5 linked regions of the Macaca mulatta genome follow. The protein of the gene in region 1 binds, or shares a complex with, the protein of each later gene. Links are inferred from orthologs where the notes say so. Each region holds a gene or a part of one and is shown on either strand. Other genes may lie near its edges.

What was found.
Region 2: GTF2F1 (region 1) and GTF2F2 share a complex: the UniProt entries of both Homo sapiens proteins name them as parts of the TBP-based Pol II pre-initiation complex. The link is inferred for Macaca mulatta from reciprocal best matches to the Homo sapiens genes GTF2F1 and GTF2F2.
Region 3: GTF2F1 (region 1) and POLR2G share a complex: the UniProt entries of both Homo sapiens proteins name them as parts of the TBP-based Pol II pre-initiation complex. The link is inferred for Macaca mulatta from reciprocal best matches to the Homo sapiens genes GTF2F1 and POLR2G.
Region 4: GTF2F1 (region 1) and ERCC2 share a complex: the UniProt entries of both Homo sapiens proteins name them as parts of the TBP-based Pol II pre-initiation complex. The link is inferred for Macaca mulatta from reciprocal best matches to the Homo sapiens genes GTF2F1 and ERCC2.
Region 5: the proteins of GTF2F1 (region 1) and CTDP1 are in contact, whole or in part, in an NMR structure (PDB 1ONV), measured with the Homo sapiens proteins. The link is inferred for Macaca mulatta from reciprocal best matches to the Homo sapiens genes GTF2F1 and CTDP1. Residues at the interface, in NP_002087.2 of Homo sapiens: Thr470, Lys471, Leu474, Gln478, Ser486, Thr489, Val490, Leu493, Ala494, Leu497, Lys498, Leu500, Asn501, Pro502, Arg504, Met511, Phe513; in NP_004706.3 of Homo sapiens: Ala946, Asp947, Met949, Ala950, Lys951, Ala952, Leu953, Glu954, Glu956, Leu957, Asp959, Leu960, Met961.

The regions. Positions count from the first base shown.
Region 1 is NC_133424.1:7,269,510-7,273,740, reverse strand, and holds the start of GTF2F1 (general transcription factor IIF subunit 1), read left to right. Parts: upstream 1-1,426; 5' UTR 1,427-1,668; coding exon 1,669-1,680; exon of another isoform or gene 1,681-1,745; intron 1,746-1,764; coding exon 1,765-1,811; intron 1,812-2,685; coding exon 2,686-2,758; intron 2,759-4,231. Other genes in the region: adenylate kinase isoenzyme 1, read right to left, coding at 810-993, 1,360-1,425. UniProt on the Homo sapiens protein: TFIIF is a general transcription initiation factor that binds to RNA polymerase II and helps to recruit it to the initiation complex in collaboration with TFIIB. It promotes transcription elongation.
Region 2 is NC_133422.1:24,430,845-24,434,862, forward strand, and holds the start of GTF2F2 (general transcription factor IIF subunit 2), read left to right. Parts: upstream 1-1,211; 5' UTR 1,212-1,358; coding exon 1,359-1,424; intron 1,425-4,018. UniProt on the Homo sapiens protein: TFIIF is a general transcription initiation factor that binds to RNA polymerase II and helps to recruit it to the initiation complex in collaboration with TFIIB.
Region 3 is NC_133419.1:11,297,809-11,301,756, reverse strand, and holds the start of POLR2G (DNA-directed RNA polymerase II subunit RPB7), read left to right. Parts: upstream 1-1,147; 5' UTR 1,148-1,238; coding exon of another isoform or gene 1,239-1,251; coding exon 1,252-1,263; coding exon of another isoform or gene 1,264-1,397; coding exon 1,398-1,507; intron 1,508-2,795; coding exon 2,796-2,955; intron 2,956-3,948. UniProt on the Homo sapiens protein: Core component of RNA polymerase II (Pol II), a DNA-dependent RNA polymerase which synthesizes mRNA precursors and many functional non-coding RNAs using the four ribonucleoside triphosphates as substrates.
Region 4 is NC_133424.1:57,886,732-57,890,243, forward strand, and holds part of ERCC2 (general transcription and DNA repair factor IIH helicase subunit XPD), read right to left. Parts: intron 890-3,512; coding exon 773-889; intron 686-772; coding exon 569-685; intron 244-568; coding exon 120-243; intron 28-119; coding exon 1-27. UniProt on the Homo sapiens protein: ATP-dependent 5'-3' DNA helicase. Component of the general transcription and DNA repair factor IIH (TFIIH) core complex, not absolutely essential for minimal transcription in vitro.
Region 5 is NC_133423.1:1,268,906-1,272,417, reverse strand, and holds part of CTDP1 (RNA polymerase II subunit A C-terminal domain phosphatase), read left to right. Parts: intron 1-1,456; coding exon 1,457-1,623; intron 1,624-2,710; coding exon 2,711-3,512. UniProt on the Homo sapiens protein: Processively dephosphorylates 'Ser-2' and 'Ser-5' of the heptad repeats YSPTSPS in the C-terminal domain of the largest RNA polymerase II subunit. This promotes the activity of RNA polymerase II.

The sequences.
Region 1 (4,231 bases):
GATTATAGGCATGAGCCACCACGACCGGCTAATTTTGTATTTTTAGTAGAAACGGAGTTTCTCCATGTCGGTCAGGCTGGTCTCAAACTCCCAACCTCAGGTGATCTACCTGCCTCGGCCTCCCAAAGTGCTAGGATTACAGGCGTGAGCCACCGTGCCCGGCCGTTTACTCGTTCTTGTCTCCTCCATGCCAGACTCGACTCCATGAGGGCAAGGACTATTTCTGCCTCCCTCATTCCTATATTCCTAGGAGTTGGCAGTTCCTGACATTTAGTGGTGGATGAGGAATAAATGAAACCAGACACATCGACAGTGTCTGTAGTTCATGGCCCAATTTTTGTGTCTTGCTCCCCTTCCCTTTGCTTAGCCAACTCCTATGCATCCCTCAGTGCCCAACTGAAACCTCCCCTCTTCTCTGAGCCCTCAGAGCCCACTGTGCTTCTCCTGCTCCTTCCTGGGTTGTAGATTCCCATGTTATGAGTCTGTCTCCCCCACGACACTGTAACCCTCGAGAGGACACTGTAACCCTCGAGAGGACACTGTAACCCTCGAGAGGACACTGTAACCCTCCGTTGGGAGCTGGTTTGACAGATTCACCTTGCGGGGCCCCGAACCCAGGAGGTGCTCGAGTATTTCCGAAGTGGAGCAATGAATGGTTGCGCCGTGAGCATGCGCAGTTGTGTTACTGCCATGACTGGGGCGTGTGTGCATGCCTGGAACGGGGTAGGGGATCCTGCATCTCCCTACTGTTCTCTGCAGCCTCCTTCCCTTCCCCCCAGGAAGCCAGCCAGCCGCCCCCGCGACGTTACCCTTCTCCTGGGGCCTCAGAGCCCTGCCCATCTCGGGCAGCTTGGACTTGCAGAGACCCATCCAGCCAGCAGGCCTTGGGGTGGTCGCTCCCCGACCCCGCCCAGGCTCTGACCCCTCCTGGCTCCGCACAACGTCACAAGGGTCCCCGCCCCGGTCATTTTGCGACAATGACGGGGTCCATTCCTTCGGGGGAGGAAATGAACCCCAAACAGGCCCATGGGGAGCCAAGCAGCGGTTCGACCCAACCGGAGTAGGCCTCGGTTGCTATGGTGACGCGGCCTTCTTGGCCCTCCCCAACCCCGGTCCAGAGCGATATGGCGCATGCGCAAAGTGCCTGGGGGCCCGCAAGGAGGACTCTTCTCCCTCTCCCCACCCAGGATGCCCCGCGGTCCTTGGGTGTGACGTCACGAGGGAGGGCGGCCCCCCATTTGATGAAGTTAACTGTGTTGTATAAAAGAGCGCCAGCGACAGAGGCCGGTTAGTTTATCTCAGACTCGGCCTGGGTTTGCTGAGTCTAAGAAGGGACCGTGGTGGCCCTTTTGAGGTGACCATAGCCGCCGAGGAGCATAAGTGACTGCGCATTGAGGCGGCCACAGTGGCTAAGAAGGTTGCCATCGCGACGCGGCCGCTGGAGGGTTTCGCTTCCGGGTTAAGCGGCCGCAGAAGCGTAGACGGAGTAGCTGCAGCGCCTCTTCCGGTTACCTTTTCCCAGTGCCGGAGGCGCCTGGGGTTGGGGTCTTCGCTCAGGGACAGAGACCCGACAGCGAGCGGCGGCTTGCCCGGGATCGAGGGACGCGCACGCCAGAGGAGACGAAAGGAACCCGGGTCGGACCAGATCGGAACCACTGACCATAGCCCATGGCGGCCCTAGTGAGTGTGGATTTGGCGGGGTTCCGGGGTCCCGACGGCGACCTCGGCAACTCCTCACTCACCGTCCGGTTCCTCTTTCCGCAGGGCCCTAGCAGCCAGAATGTCACTGAATACGTCGTTCGAGTTCCCAAGTAAGTGTCCAGCCCCATCTCCCCCTCCTCTCCACCCTCCAAAAATGAAAACCTTCACGGTCTTCTTAGCCAGGCGTTTCTGGCCCTGTCTGTGATTCTCCCTCCAGACTGGGAGAGACTTGGAGGGCAGGGCTGGGATTAAGCTGAGGCTTCCCTGGAGACAACCCTGCTTTTTTAAACGAATGAATGAATGAGTGCATTAATAACACGGCGATCCAGCCCCCTGGCCTAACCTTCGATCCCATGATGCTCAGGCCAGCTGTAAAGAACATATTCCTCGTCCTGTTTCAAAATGGTCGGGCTATCTTTCCTTTCTAGGCTTTTGTACATCCTGTTCCCTCTGCCATGAGTGCCTCCCCTCAACCCCTAAACTGTGACTCTGCTGGGTGAATTCTTGTTGATTCTACAAAGCTCAGCTCCAGTATCTTCCTCCTCCAGGAAGCCCTCCATGCCTGTCCTCCCTCCTCCCCAAGGCTGAGTTCACAATAATCTCCACATCTTGGGTTCCCTCAAATCTTTGTCCCTCCATCTGCTCTTCTTCTGCCTGGGGTCAAGAGGGGATGGGTCTAGCTTCTCTGGCAGACTGGGAATCCTTGGAGTCTTCTGTATCCAGTGTTGCCAGGCAAAACAGGCTGAATGAATCGAATCGGGGTGGGTTTGTTGAGTGATTGAATTGAATAAATGATTCAATTGAATGGAATGATTGAATTGAATTGATGGTTCAATTGGATTGAGCGATTGAATTAATGATTTGATTGAATTAATGATCCAGTTGGATGGCTGATTGAATTAATGGTTCAATCGCATTAATTCATTAAATTAATGATTGAACTGCTGTATTGGATTGACACCACCTCTTTCTAATCCACTCCAGGAATACAACCAAAAAATATAATATCATGGCTTTTAATGCAGCCGATAAAGTCAACTTTGCTACGTGGAATCAGGTAAGTCCCTGGGTCCTGGGGGTTGGGAGCTGGGGTGGTGGGAGAACATGACCCTGACCTTGGTGATTGTAATAGTTGCTTAACTGTCATAGTAACTAAGTCTTAATTTTCTCACTTTTCTCAAAATGAAGAAAAGATAGATGACAAAGGATTGGGTGCAGTAGTTCACACCCCTGATCTCAGCACTTTAGGAGGCCGAGGCAGGAAGCTTGCTTAAGGCTAGGAGTTCAAAACCAGCCTGGGCAATGTAATAGCAAGACCCCAACTCTACAAAAAAATTAAAAAATTAGCTGGGGCTGGTAGTGTGGGTCTGTAGGCCTACATAGGAGGCTGAGGTAGGAGGATCGCTGGAGCCCAGGGGTTCAAGGCTGCAGTGAGCTATGATTGCATCACTGCACTCCAGCCTGGATAATAGAGCAAGACCCTGTCTCAAAAAAAAAAAAAAAAAAAAAAAGTCCGGGTGCCATGGCTCAAGCCTGTAATCCCAGCACTTTGGGAGGTCGAGGCGGGTGGATCACGAGGTCCGGAGATCGAGACCATCTTGGCTAACATGGTGAAACCCCGTCTTTACTAAAAAAATACAAAAAAGTAGCCGGGCGAGGTGGCGGGCGCCTGTAGTCCCAGCTACTTGGGAGGCTGAGGCAGGAGAATGGCGTGAACCTGGGAGGCGGAGCTTGCAGTGAGCTGAGATCCGGCCACTGCACTCCAGCCTGGGGGACAGGGCGAGACTCCATCTCAAAAAAAAAAAAAAAAGAATGACAAAGGCCCAGGTCAAGCTCCTGGGTGTCCCTGTAAGTTAGGTTTGGTAGGCCCACCGGAGGCCTCTCCTTAAAGGAGAACATTCAGAAGTTGTGCCCACCGATGGGCATTTTTGACCAGGGTTTATCTGGGCAAGGGAGGGGACTGGGCTGGGGGCTTTCCCAGAGCCCCTGCCATCAGAGGCTCTAGAAAGGAGTTTGGGAGCCATTAAAGTGTTTTCAACTGGGAGGTTGTAGTGTGATCTGGCTGTTGTGGGGAGACAGACTGTGGGTTTGAGGGCAGTTAAAGGGAGACCGGGTAGAAGCAACTGGTCTGGTCTAGGTGAGTCCTGGTGGGCACTGGGGGCAGTGGAGGTTATGAGATGTGGCTGATTCTAGAGTGTTTTGGAAATGGTATATATGGACCTTAAATCAAGAGCTTAAGGGTAATTTGGATCATATTAGCCACATAGGTCACGATAAATGGTAACATTTGTAGAGATTTTGGTGCCTTAATGTCAGCAAATGTTGCACAATGAGATTCTTTTTATTTATTTTATTTATTTATTTTTTGTGATGGAGTCTCTTGTTGTCCAGGCTGGAGTGCAATGGCACGACCTGGGCTCACTGCAATCTCCACCTCCCAGGTTCAAGCCATTCTTCTGCCTCAGCCTCCCAAGTACAGGTGCCTGCCACCACGCCCAGCTAATTTTTGTCTTTTTATGAAGTTTCGCCA
Region 2 (4,018 bases), on another chromosome or scaffold:
AAAATTTCCTCAATTTTGTGCAAGGCTCTGATGTGTGATTCAATACATTACTTGCCCTTCTTAACAATACCTTACTGTTTGTTTCTCTTCAGCGAATGTTCTTTCACCCAAAGCCTGCTGAAACCTGACAATGTGTCAAACACTGTGCTATACATTGTGGATATAACATGAATAAAGCACCATTTTTTATTTGTAAATTATACCTCAATAAAGCTCTTTCTGCCTAGGAGGAGTTCGTTGTCTGGAAAGCAAAGGCAGATATGTAAACATATGTATTATAGTGCAGAGTGCTAAGTATCACACTGTGATGTGAAGAAAAACTAATTTCTTCTGGGGAAGTTGATAAAAGATCTCATAAGAAGTGACATTTCCATTGGTCTTGAACCATAAGTAGGAGTTTGCCAACCAGAGGAAAGAGTGGGAGTGAGGGCAGGGGTAAAAGAGGGCTTCCAAGGAAGGGAATCCAGTGTGCAGAGGCTCTGAAATGACCGAGGAAGATTCTGACGTGTTCCGGGAAGTCTGCTGGGTTTGGTGCGGTTCGGTGCATGGTGGAGTAATGGTGGGAGGGGAAAACGGATGAAATTAAGAGGGCCCAGTTGAAGCAGGAGGATTGAATTTTATTCTAGAGGCAAGAAGAGAAAGAGAAAACTTTAAGCAGGGGAGGAAACGATCAGTTTTGTCTCTTACTTGTTCGTTTCGTCACAGACCTTCGGGTTTTGGAATATGAGGTGCTCTGCTTGCTTAATCAGAGGAGCTCGGGCAGCCTCTGAGCTGAAACACGGCTTTCTTTTCAGGTCTAGAAACGGCATGTTTTCAATATACCCAGGGCTACCAAGTCTGATCCCAGTGCCCACTTGTGCTAATGACGTTGGCCAGGGGGGATGCCAATTTACTAACCTAAGCCTGTCCTTCAAATATTCTTTCTCTCTCTTTGGCTAGGGTTGGACACGTTCTGACAACTTTTGTCTCTTTGAACCCCGTTTTTCCGTTCTGATAATCTTTTTCTTCAGTTATGCTGGCCATGTCTTTAAATACGTTGCTAACGTTTTGGCTCATCTTACCCTATGTTTTAATCCCTCAGATACACACTACGCTGACAGCCACGCCCACCCAAGGAATTTCCGAAACAGAAAGTTTGTCTGCAACAGCGCGCCGTACGAACGTACAGTGCGCAGGCGCAGTCTGGCTACCGGCGGCGTGTTCCTCTTTCCCCCCGGTTTCCAGTGTCCTGGCAGGTAAGGAACGCCGCCTCTTCACCTCTCAGCGCGGCTTGCCCTTTGTTCCGGACGCCCACTTCTCAGCCCTCCGGCTCCTGGTGTCGCTGCTGTAGGCCACACGCGTCCACCGGCAACAGACCCATGGCCGAGCGCGGGGAACTCGACCTGACCGGCGCCAAACAGAACACAGGAGTGTGGCTAGTCAAGGTAATGTTCACGAGTCTCCCACTTGCGCTCCTCCTAACACAAGTATAATTTAAGTAACTTGAGCCCATCCCGCTCCGTGCACCTCTTAAAGTTCTTTTACGGCTATCTCGTTAGAGCTTCACATATTTTGAGAGGCAGGAGTCATTGTTGTATCTGTTTGCAGATGAGGAGATTAGTTTAGGGACGCAAAGTGTCTTTCAGCCGGTTACTGGTCTGAATCAGCCTGGACTAGATCTCTTTCTCACGGCTTTCCTGGAGCCCTGTCTTGGTGTTCCTAGACTTGGGCGGTGCATTTTATCCCAGACCGAAGAATTACTTGTATCTTTCCCTTGGTGAAACTGGTTTTAGCCATGAGCCTGTGTGAGGTAGTTGAATGTCTGCTTTCTGTACAGTTTTTTCGGCGAGAAACTAGAACTGGTCCCTGCGTACTCTTATTCTCTTAGGTAAATGGTCCTTAATGAAGCTCTCAAAAGAGGCGAGAGAGCCCTGAACAAACAGAAGGAGAGGTCAGGAGAGGTCATTGGACTGGAGTATTCTTTCAGAGCACATTTGGGTCTGATGAAACTGGCCGTCAATAAATGTTTTATGTAAAGACAGCAATTTTGGTTGGCTCACAGCGGGCACTATTTGTGCTTTACTGTTTCATGTTGGGAAGTGTTTTCTCCTAGGGGAGTTTCATAATACTTAAGCAAATTCAAAATGTGATCCTGAAAGTCGTTGAGACTTAAAATGTAAGGACTTTCGGTTTCTTAATGCTTTAACTGATTTATCATATGGCTGAGTTCTCGTCAATTAAATCTAAGAGGTCTTTCTTGTCGGCCTTCTTAAAAATGGCTCCCTTATGATCATTTGCTAACACGACAGATCCGTATTACATTCTTTCTTTTCTTTTTTTCTTTTTTTTTTTTTTTGAATCAGAGTCTTGCTCTGTCGCCCAATCTGGAGTGCAGTAGTGCGATCTTGGCTCACTGCAAGCTCCGCCTCCCAGGTTCACGCCATTCTCCTCTCTCAGCCTCCCGAATAACTGGGACTACAGGCACTCGCCCCCACGCCCGGCTAATTTTTTGTATTTTTAGTAGAGACAGGGTTTCACCGTGTTAGCCAGGATGGTCTCGATCTCCTGACCTCGTGATCCGCCCGCCTTGGCCTCCCAAAGTGCTGGGATTACAGGCGTGAGCCACCGCACCTGGCCGTTACATTCTTCAAAGCACTTTTCACAGTGTAGAGTGATTTTGTGTTAATATGTTCAAAGTTGGTTACCTCCGTCTTTCCAACACACAAAATCACATTCCATGAGATTGGATCTTTGCCTGTCATACCCAGAATAGTGTTTGGCACATGGTAATTACTCAACAAAAAGGTGATGAATAAATGCATGACCTCTCATTCTTTAACCCTCGCCTTAATCTGTGGCACTGATTTGACTTATTTCCAAGCTCAGTGTGACTTAAAAGGATGAATTAAATAGGCATTTCTCTCTCCAGCAGCGTGTTAATTGGAGGAGAGTCACTAAGGAGGAGATGGCCCTTGCAGACTGAAGGAAAAAGCTTGAAAAAATGGTGTGACTTGAGATGGTGCCATTGTTCTAGGAGCATGGTAAATGCTCAGTGTTTACGCCTTACAGGATTTGGGTGGGTGGACATAGCATATACCATGGGGAATGGAACAGAAATGCAAGACTCAAAATACATAATCAGCATGGTGTGTCGTGGAAAACAGAGAGAACCTAGAGCAGAAGATCTGTGTAGATAAAGGTTGGGACCATATACTCAGATTGTCATATCATGAAACGGAGATGTTCTAACTTTAGTTTACAAGGAAGTAACAAACTTTTTGGAGGATTTGAGTGAGGGAGAGATGCCAAATATTTATTCAGAAAAAAAAAAGTTTGGCAGTGTGCAGTACGAATTAGAGGGGAGGGTAAGTAACCAGAGTCACATTTAGAAAATCATCACAGGATTGGGCCGGGCACGGTGGCTCACACCTGTAATCCCAACACTTTGAGAGGCCGAGACAGGTGGATCATGAGGTCAATAGTTTGAGACTAGCCTGGCCAGTATGGTGAAATCCCATCTCTACTAAAAATACCAAAATTAGCCGGTTATGGTGGCATGCGCCTGTATTCCCAGCTACTCAGGAGACTAAGGCAGAAGAATTGCTTGAAACTGGGAGGCGGAGGTTGCAGTGAGCTGAGATTGCTCCGTTGCACTCCAGCCTGGGCAACAGAACAAAAACTCCATCTCAGAAAAAAAAAAAAAAAGAAGTAGTAACTTGTTGCTTAGAAAGTGTGTCTTCATTCTCATCTCATCAGAATTTTATTTGAACTACGTATTGATTTCAAGTTTTTTCTCCTTACATTAATATTTTCTGTTAAAAATAATACCTTGAGTTCTGATCTTTGTTGCTGAAAAATGTTTCTTCCTAGGATATATCAAGGTCATCTTGTACATATTTAATTCCATCACCAGTTACAGAACTGTGTAAATGCAGTAAGGACTGTACATACAAGATCTCTTAGAGTTTTGAGCAGGAAAAAAATTAATGCTTCACCAGAACTGGAAAGACATCATAGAGAAGGTGATGTTTAAGAAGAG
Region 3 (3,948 bases), on another chromosome or scaffold:
GGGATTGCAATAGCTTTTAAATTTTTTCTTTCTCTCTCTCTCTTTCTTTCGTTCTTTCTTAGTGTTGCTCTGTTGCCAGGCTGGAGTGCAGTGGCGCGATCTCAGCTCACCGCAGCCTCCGCCCCCCGGGTTCAAGCGATTTTCCTGCCTCAGCCTCCTGAGTACCGGCTAATTTTTTGTATTTTTAGTAGAGTCGAGGTTTCGCCGTGTTAGCAAGGATGGTCTCAATCTCCTGACCCCATGATCTGCCCGCCTCCGCCTTCCAAAGTGCTGGGATTACAGGCGTAAACCACTGCGCCCAGCCTAAATTTCATTATTTTCTGTAGCTTCCTGGCCTTTCGACTAAGGCTCATGTAAATTTTTTGTTATTTCTACACCAATTTCTGTAGATTATTATGAGAATTAAGGGAGATAATTATATAAAGGGCTTAACACAGTGTCTGGCATTTAGGAAGAAAGCAGTAAGTGGTAGCTATTATTTATTATTATTTTTTGTGATGGAGTTTCGCTTTTGTTGCCCAGGCTGGAGTGCAGTGGCCTCCCAGGTTCAAGCAATTCAGAGAGTTGCTGGCCGGGCACAGTGGCTCACGCCTGTAATTCCAGCACTTTTGGAGGCCGAGGTGGGTGGATCACCTAAGGTTGGGAGTTTGAGACTAGCCTGACCAACATGGAGAAACCCCATCTCTACTAAAAACACAAAATTGGCCGGGCGCTGTGACTCACGCCTGTAATTCCAGCACTTTGGGAGGCTGAGGAGGGCGGATCACAAGGTCAGGATATCAAGACCAGCCTGGCTAACCCGGTGAAACCCCGTCACTACTAAAAATACAAAAAATTAGCCGGGCGCGGTGGTGGGCGCCTGTAGTCCCAACTACTGGGGAGGCTGAGGCAGGAGAATGGCCCGAACCCGGGAGGCGGAGCTTGCAGTGAGCCGAGATCGCGCCACTGCACTCCAGCCTGGGAGACGGAGCCAGATCCGTCTCAAAACAAAAAAAAGAGAGTTGTGGTTTGATGGCCGGTGGGGGGGCGGGGCGGTGGTGAGGGGCGGGGCTTAGTGGTTCACGCCCACGGCTACAAGGCCCAATCAGACCCGTGGAGCAGGTGGAGTTCCGCCCTCGCGGAGGAGGTGGAGTTCCGCTCTCAACGTCGCAGCAGGCGCGGAACTGGGGTTGCGGCGGCTAAGTGTGTTTCCGGTAGATTCCCAGGGGCGGTCGGAGGTGTGGACTGTTCCTGCCTTCATGCTCTGGGAAGATGTTCTACCATGTGAGCAGGGCCCAGGGTGGCGGCAAGGGCTGGGTGGAAAGGAGGAGCAAGGCCAGGCGCCGGCGCGAGGCTCCCCTTGTCGTCTGATAAGCTCCCAGCGCGTGGCCTGGTCGCCATCCCTCTTTTCTCCGCAGATCTCCCTAGAGCACGAAATCCTGCTGCACCCGCGCTACTTCGGCCCCAACTTGCTCAACACGGTGAAGCAGAAGCTCTTCACCGAAGTGGAGGGGACCTGCACAGGGAAGTGAGTGCCGAGCTCACCGCGCCGCCAGATCGTTCGATGCGCACACGGGTCGCTATACCTGCAAACCATCCGCAACTCCTATTAGTCCTGCCACCCACTCTAGGGACCCCGCTCACCCTCTCAGGCAGCCAGTTGCTTCCTGCTTTGGGTTCCCAGGGCGCCCTCTGCAATGCTGGACAATAAGACTTCCTTCCCTCAGCTGAGATTGGTCATTCATTCATTTACTCCTCAGACATTTTAAAAACACTTGGTGTGTGCCAGGACCCGTGTTGGGCTCAGAACAAGGTAGAATGGGAACAAGATAGAATGAGGCCAGCTCTTGTGGAGCTCACAGTGTAGTCATTGTTCCTGTGTCTCCTCTCACTCTGTCATTCTGCTGGTTTTCTCTTATCCCCTGTGTCCAGGGACCACACACCGTGGGCCTCTATATATCTTCTGAATGGATGACCAGAAAAAGTGGATCGAAAGTTTGGGGGAGGAAGGAAGTAGACTGGGACTTGACCATCTCTGGGCTTTGCACTGAGGGCCTTCTGTGATATTAATGAGCTGGGACCCAGCCCAGGGCAGTGGAGTACTTGGGCCTCCAGCATCAGAAAAACCTGCAGGAACATGCAGATTCCTGAGCCTCCTTATTCCCTACAGAATCAAGACTCTGTGAGGCAGACCTGAGAATCTGCATTTTAAGAAGATGATTCTCAGGCATCCCGAAGATTGAGATCTGTTTCCTCAAGGACTCCAGCCTTCTTGTACATTTACTGTGAAATTACCAGAACAGCATTTGGTCTTATACATACTGATCTGTGTTCTTTTTTTTTTTTTTTTTTTTATGAGACGGAGTCTCGCTCTGTCGCCCAGGCTGGAGTGCAGTGGCCTGATCTCAGCTCACCGCAAGCTCCGCCTCCCGGGTTCAGGCCATTCTCCTGCCTCAGCCTCCCGAGTAGCTGGGACTACAGGCGCCCGCCACCTCGCCTGGCTAGTTTTTTGTATTTTTTAGTAGAGACGGGGTTTCACCGGGTTAGCCAGGATGGTCTCGATCTCCTGACCTCGTGATCCGCCCGTCTCGGCCTCCCAAAGTGCTGGGATTACAGGCTTGAGCCACCGCGCCCGGCCCATACTGATCTGTGTTCTGTCTTCTCTTGGTCATTAAGCTCTCTGGGAGCAGAGGTGCTATCTACTTGTCCTTTTGCTCTCCCCGACACTACTCCCAAGAGCTCAGTGACTTTTATTGCAGATGTCTCTAGAGGCTCTTGGACACACAATGTCTTTCTGTTTCTCATCCTCCTTGCAGGTATGGCTTTGTAATTGCTGTCACCACCATTGACAATATTGGTGCTGGTGTGATCCAGCCAGGCCGAGGCTTTGTCCTTTATCCAGTTAAGTACAAGGCCATTGTTTTCCGGCCCTTTAAAGGGGAGGTCGTGGATGCTGTTGTAACTCAGGTCAACAAGGTGAGACCATACGTAGGGGAGGCATTGGGGTAGTCTCTCAGTAGATCTGGGTTGGGTCCTGGCTCCACTTCATAACTGTGCCTTCAGCTAAGTCACTTTACTTCTTTTTTTTTTTTTTGAGATGGAGTGTTGCTCTGTCGCCCAGGCTGGAGTGCAGTGGTGCCATCTTGGCTCACTGAAACCTCTGCCTTCTGGGTTCCAGTGAGTCTCTTGCCTCGGCCTCCCAAGTAGTTGGGACTAAAGGCAGGTGCCACCATGGCCGGCTAAGTTTTTGTATTTTTTTTAGTAGAGATAGGGTTTTGCCATGTTGCCCAGGCTGATCTCGAACTCCTGAGCTCAATCTGCCTACCTCGGCCTCCCAAAGCGCTAGGATTACAGGTGTGAGCTACCACGCCTGGCCATCACTTTACTTCTTGTGCTGCACTTTCAAATTGTATGGTAATCTTCCCTGCCCAACTCAGAGGGCAAGAGTCAACATTAATAGTCATAACAATAAAAGCCTGTGTTGATTGAGTAGTGACTGTGGGCCAGGTGAAGTGCAGAGACTCACAATGACTAAAAGGTGGGTGCTTTCCTTTTTTTTTTTTTTTTTTTAAGATGGAGTTTAGCTCTGTCGCCAGACTGGAGTGCAGTGGCACAATCTTGGCTCACTACAACCTCCGCCTCTGGGTTCAAGTGATTCTCCTGCCTCAGCCTCCCAGGTAGCTGGGACTATAGGCATGCGCCACCACGCTCAGCTAATTTTTGTATTTTTAGTAGAGATGAGGTTTCTCCATGTTGGTCAGGCTGGTCTCAAACTCCCGACCTCAGGTGATCTGCCTGCCTCAGCCACCGAAAGTGCTGGGATTGTAGGCGTGAGCCACTGCCCCCGGCCAGTGGGTGCTTTTTACAGAAGCTGAAGCTTAGAAGAAGTTAAGTGTATTGGCCAAGATCATGTGGCCAACAGGTGTTCAAATCTTGGACTAACAGGCCTAAGCTCTTTAATACTTTAAA
Region 4 (3,512 bases), about 51 Mb from region 1:
CGCTCATGGAGTCGATGCAGACGTTGTCTGGAGAAGAGGGAGAGAGCCGGCTCAGGCAGGCCTGCAGGGGCCTCCCTCAGAGGGGCTGGCGTCCCTTTGGCCCCTGGCGCTCCCCTCACCAATGTTGTGGGCCTCGTCGAAGACCACGACGGCCTTGCGGGCCAGTTCCTTGGACACCAGGTCTGCAATCTTGGGGTCCAGGAGGTAGTGGTAGCTATAAACCACCACGTTGGCATGCAGGATCTGGGGGGCCAGGGAGCAGGGTCACCAGGGCCCTGTCACCCCAACCCCTACCCCCCTACCCCTGGCCAGGTGGGCGTCCGTCTCCCGGGCGGCGCTGGCCACACTGGCCCATCATTCCCACACAGGCCTGCAGAGGCAGACACCGGCCAGGCAGAAATATGAGCAGATGGATAGAGACAGACCGACAGACATGGGCACCCATCAACAGGGAGATGCAGACAGGCAGACTCACAGCAAGCAACAGACAGGCATGGGCAGACAGGAGACGGGCAGGCAGCCCACAGCCTCACACTCGCCCCTCTGCCCGTCCCACCAGCCTTCTCACTGAGTATCGAGCAAGGAAGTATGGGCACCAGCCCTGGCGCCGCCCCAGGGCCTTCAGGTCATCCAGGTTGTAGATGCCAGCGGGGAGGGGCACCTCGCGCCCATGGGCATCAAATTCCTGGGACAAGAGTGCCAGGGGTCAGGGAGGCTGCCTGCCCCAGGCCACCCATCCAGCCTCCCTCCCTCAGCCCTGCCCTCCAGGCACCTCATAGAAGCGACAGTGGGGCAGGCTGGTGTCATGCTGGTACTGCGCCCGCACATAGGAGGCTGTGAGGCTGTGGCATTTCCCATCGACATCCTTCCCAAAGCGCAGGGGTGTCACCTGGGGGTGTGGGGCATCTTAGCACCCAGACAGGGTGGAAACCCAACCACTCTTCAAACGCAGGTCTCCACACCTCCCAGTTGGCTGGGGTTTTGGACAACTTGAACCTCAGTCTGTTGCACTATTAGTTAAGACACATGGGAACTTAATGCAGGGATATAAGAGTAGTAAAACTGGACTGGGTGTGGTGGCTCACGCCTGTAATCCCAGCACTTGGTGAGGCCGAGGTAGGGAGATCACGAGGTCAGGAGTTCGAGACCAGCTTGGCCAACATGGTGAAACTCCATCTCTACTAAAAATTAGCCGGGCGCGATGGTTCACGCCTGTAATCCTAGCACTTTGGGAGGTCGAGGTGGGAGGATTACCTGAGGTCAGGAGTTTTAGACCAGCCTGGCCAACATGATGAAACCCTGTCTCCACTAAAAATACATTAGCCAAGCATGGTGGCACGTGCCTGTAATCCCAGCTACTCGGGAGGCCGAGGCAGGAGAATCGCTTGTACCCGGGAGGCGGAGTTTGCACTGAGCCGAGATCACCCCACAGCATTCCAGCCTGGGCGATAGAGCGAGACTCCATCACAAAAAAAAAAATAAAAATAAAAATACAAAAATGAGCCAGGCATGGTGGTGCACACCTGGAATCCCAGCTACTCGGGAGGCTGAGGCAGGAGAATTGCTTGAACCCAGGAGACAGAGGTTGCAGTGAGCCGAGATCATGCCACTGTACTCCACCCTGGGCGACAGAGTAAGACTCCCTCTCAAAAAAAAAAAAGAGAGTAGTAAAATTGTTACATTCTTACAAGTTATACATATATATTTTTGGAGACAGGTCCCTCTGCTACTCAGGCTGGAATGCAGTGGCGCAATCACAGCTTACTACATCCTTGACCTCCCAGACTCAACTGATCCTTCCCCCTTCAGCCTCCCGAGTAGCTGAGGCCACAGGTGTGCACCACCATGCCTGGCTAATTTTTGTCTTTTTAGTCAAGATGAGGTCTTGCTATGTTGCCCAGGCTGGTCTCAAACTCCTGGCCTCAAGCAATCCTCCCACCTCAGCCTCCCAAAGTGCTGGGATTACAGGCTGAGTCACTGTGCCCAGCCAACCAAAACTAATATTTTAAAACAGTAAGCCTTGAAAAATCTTTAGCATATAGATTGAGGATAATTACTTCATCCTTGGAAATGCCAAAACACATGGAACTCTGGCAGGGCCTAAGAATCAAAGGAGGTGCTGCAGAGTCTGGGACTCCCCTCACCCCTGACCTGCTCTGTACCCTCTAAGGTACCATCACAGCCTAAGGCTATCTTTCCCAAGAACAAATCCTTCTCCTACACCAAAGGGAAAGCTCCAAGGCAGCCAGCCCTTCCCTCTCCATTTCCCCTTTCATCAGTCACCGAGGCCTGTGCTCTTTGTCATCCACTAGATATATTATTTCTCATATATTCTTACAAATAATGTGATGCATAGTCTGTGGGCCCAGTGTGGGAGTTTGAGATCAGCCTGGCCAACATGATGAAACCCATCTCTATTAAAAATACAAAAAACTAGCTGGGCGTGGTGGAGTGCGCCTGTAATCCCAGCTACTCAGGAAGCTGAGGCAGAAGAATCGCTTGTACCTGAGAGGTGGAGGTTGTGGTGAACCGAGATCACGCCACTGCACTCTAGCCTGGGCAACAAGAGTGAAACTCCATCTCAAAAAAAATAACTAAGGCTGGGCACGATGGCTCATGCCTGCAATCCCAGCACTTTGGGAGGCCAAGGTGGGCGGATCACGAGATCAGGAGTTAGAGACCAGCCTGACCAACATGGTGAAACATCAGCCTTCCAAAGTGCTGGGATTATAGGCGTGAGCCACCATGCCCAGCCAAGTACAATGGTTTTATAGCATAATTTAATAACAATTAACATTGTATTTGTCATATATTATGTATATAAATATCATGACAATTTTTTTTTTTTTTTTAAGACAGTCTCACTCTGTCCCCCAGGCTGGAGTGCAGTAGTGTGACCTCAGCTCACTGCAACCTCTGCCTCCCGTGTACAAGCGACTGGGATTACCGACATGTACGCCACCACCCCTGGCTAATTTCTGTATTTTTAGTAGAAATGGGGTTTTGCGCCGGGCGCGGTGGCTCATGCCTGTAATCCCAGCACTTTGGGAGGCCGAGACGGGTGGATCACGAGGTCAGGAGATCGAGACCATCCTGGCTAACACGGTGAAACCCCGTCTCTACTAAAAAATACAAAAAAAAAAACTAGCCGGGCGTGGTGGCGGGCGCGTATAGTCCCAGCTACTCGGGAGGCTGAGGCAGGAGAATGGCGTGAACCCGGGAGGCGGAGCTTGCAGTGAGCTGAGATCCAGCCACTGCACTCCAGCCTGGGCGACAGAGCGAGACTCTGTCTCAAAAAAAAAAAAAAAAAAAAAAAAAAGAAATGGGGTTTTGCCGTGTTGGCCAGGATGGTCTCGAACTCCTGACCTCAAATGATCTGCCCACCTCAGACTCCCAAAGTGCTGGGACTATAGATGTGAACCACCGCACCCGGCCTACCATGAGAAATTTTTTTTTTTTTTTTTTTTTTTTTGAGACAGAGTCTCGCTCCGTTGCCCAGGCTGGAGTGCAGT
Region 5 (3,512 bases), on another chromosome or scaffold:
GACTCAGGGACCCGAGTGGGCACAGGAATGTGGATAACCCCACCCCACACACAAGTTCAGCAGCTCTGTGGGGCTCCTGGTTTAGGAGCAGTTCTTGACGTCAGCGTCAGCATCTGAGGTTTATAGTTTTCTTAGGAGCTTGCCTGTGTTAATCCTACTGATAATTTATAAAATCCTAAATCACATGACTTTTGCCCGTCTTTTTGCTTTTTGCCATTTCTTCCTTTCCATGAGCTCCAGAGCCTCCTCTTCTCAGCTCCTCTGAGCCTTTTTGACAGGGTGGCCCCTCCCTGCCCCTACGTAGAGACTTTTTTATATCCTTCTGTATTCTTTGGCGTTTCTTGCCCACTCTGTACGAGGAATTTCCCCATTTCCACCCGGAAGTCCGTCCCTGCTGTTGCAACGCATCAGGTGTGGCTTGTTCTCCCAAGGAGCCCTGGCGGTCGCAGCTTCAGCTTCAGCCGCTTCCTGGCTCACGGTGGCCGCCGCCTCCCAGTGCTTCGGTTTTTACATTTAGGGAGTCCACGCAGACTGTGAGGCCTATGCAAGCTGATGTTAACTAAGAAGAGACTCTGAAAGTACTTCAGAAACCTCCTTTTTGCTAGTTAGCGCCAGAGTGAGCAGATTGATCAGGGCTAAAGAGAATGAGAGGTGCTGTTAGTGACGTGTTAAGGGGAAAAGTCACCTGAAGGCAGAATGATAGGATCGAATGGGGACACACCCAGGATAGGCCCTAGTGGCGGGCACTGTGGTTTACATGGAGGTAGCTGTAGGTCCACTTAGAAATTCTGCATCGGCAGTAGGTCTGGTTTTTGTTTTTTTGTTTTTGAGATGGTCTAACTCTGTTGCCCAGACCTAAGTGCAGTAGTGTGGTCTCAGCTCCCCACAGCCTTGACTTCCTGGGCTCAAGCTATCCTCCCACTTCAGCCTTCTGAGTAGCTGGGACTACAGGTGCACACCACCACACCCGGCTAACTTCTGTATTTTTTGTAGAGACGGGGTCTTACCGTGTTGCTCAGGCTGGTCTCAGGCTCTGAGGCTCAAGCGGCCCTCCCAAAGCGCTGGAATTCCAGGCCTGAGCCACACAGCCCATCCCGGGCTGTTTTCAGAGTCAGCAAATTCTGGCCTTTAGGCTACACAGCCTGGTTTGTACAGGAAGTTTTATTGGAACATGGCCATGCCCACGCGGTCGGAGTTGGGTTTCATCCCTGTGGCCCTTCATGCCTGAAGTAGTGACTCTGGCGCTTTAAGAAACAGTTTGCGAACTCCGGCTTGAAGGAGAATCAGAAGCTGTGGAGAAGATGTTACTGAGGTTTAAATGTGACCCAAACAGAAAGGGCTTCGGGGCGGTTGGTGTCAGTTTCTGATGAACCTGCTGTCTGTTGGTTACATGTGGGTTAGAATCTTAAACTCTTTTCATTATTATTTTGTGTGAATTTTGCATTTTCACTTGTAGAAACCTCTTTCCGTGTGGAGACTCAATGGTTTGCATTATTGATGATCGAGAAGATGTCTGGAAGTTTGCCCCCAATCTGATAACTGTGAAGAAATACGTGTACTTCCAGGGCACAGGTGATATGAATGCGCCCCCTGGGTCCCGAGACTCTCAGACGAGAAAGAAAGGTGGGTAACCTCCTTCCTGATTCTCTAGAATTTACATTTGCTTATTGTTTAGCTCTTCTTATTTCTTATCTCTATTTTGACTGCTCTAAATTCAAGATACACTTTGATTTTTTATTTGTATTTCAATAGAGGTTATTGGATTTATGTATATAGTACTGGAAAACAGGATATTATGTCGTTTTGATTTGGGCTTTAAAAAAAATGGCCCTCACTTAAGCATTTTCCCAGTTGAATAAAAACTAAAGGATACTGTTTAACCTAACATGTGAATAACTCCTTTCATCCCAGTTTTCCTTAAACACACGCCTGGGCCTCGGGCCCTGGCATTCTGTAGAGAGAGCGAATGTGGGGGCAGTGGCTGTGTAGGGAAGAACCGTCCCCAGAGTGCAGTGTTCAGGCCTGGCGCTGGCTGGGCCCAGAGAGCAGCGTGGTTTAACCTGTCAGGCAGGCCTGCGGCTGACGTCCACCCTGTGAAAAGTTAAGTGTTTTTGACCCTTAGTTTTTAAAAAAAAATATTTTGAGGCGTACATTTGCTGCTCTAGTCACTAAAATGGAACTTGGAGGTTGAAACCAGAAGAGGGTGGGACTGGGGTCCCTCCTGTAGGAGGCCGAGGCTTTCACCAGATGGCTGGGGTCAGCGTGGAGTTGCTGACTTCCTCCAGACCGGGGCTTGGGAAACTGTGGCCATGGTGGCGCCAGGTCTGCAGCCTGGAGACCTCCAGTTGTTCTTATAGACGGAGGATCCTTCCTCCCCCAGATCCAGAGCTTTTTGAGTTGCCCACATGGTGCTTAAAGGAAATACTCATTGGAGCATTTTGGATTTTTCAGATTTGGGATGTTCAAGTGGTAAGTTTAACGCAAATACTCCAAACTCAGAAACACATTCAGTGTCCAAAACATCTGTGGCCCCATGCACTTCGGGTAAGGGGTGCTCACCCCGTCAGGCTCTTCACAGCAAGGTTGCCAAGGCCTGGTCTAGAGGGTGGCAGAGTTCACAGCCATGAAGAAGGGCGCTGCTTTAACTTGGAATGTTATTTAACGTTTAATGCTGAATCGCGGTAACTTTTCCTTTTGCATGCATATTTAGTAAATCATTCTTCTCGAGGCACCGAGATCTCAGAGCAAGCTCCGCCCGTGAGAGAGCCCGAGTGGGGAACGCAGGCCCCTGGAGTGGAGCCCAGCAATGGCCTGGAGAAGCCGGCTCAGGAGCTGAACGGCAGTGAGGCTACCGCCCCACAGGACTCGCCCCGCCCTGGGAAACCGGACGAGAGGGACACCTGGCCCGCTGCCCAGGCCCCCACCAGCAGTGGAGAGCTGGCAGGCACTCCTGAGCCCCAAGGATCCTGTGTGCAGGGTGGCCGGGCGGCACCGGGACAGCGGCCTGCCCAGGGTGCCACGGGCACTGACCTGGACTTCGACTTATCCAGCGACAGCGAGAGCAGCAGTGAGTCCGAGGGCACGAAGTCTCCCTCCTCCGCCTCTGACGGCGAAAGTGAGGGGGGGAGAAGCCGGCAGAAGCCAAAGGAGGAGGAGAACCCGGCTCCAGAGGGAGCCGGGGCGCTGGCTCAGGGCAGTTCCCTGGAGCCGGGGCGGCCTGCAGCACTGAGTCTCCCCGGAGAGGCCGAGCCCGGCACGCATGCCCCAGACAAGGGGCCCGAGCTGGGTGGGCAGGAGGAGGGCGAGCGGGACGGCCTCTGCGGCCTGGGCAATGGCTGTGCCGACAGGAAGGAGGCGGAGACCGAGTCACAGAACAGCGAGCTGTCAGGCGTCACCGCGGGCGAGTCCCTGGACCAGAGTGTGGAGGAGGAGGAGGAGGAGGACACGGACGAGGATGACCACCTCATCTACCTGGAGGAGATCCTGGTCCGTGTGCACACCGACTACTACGC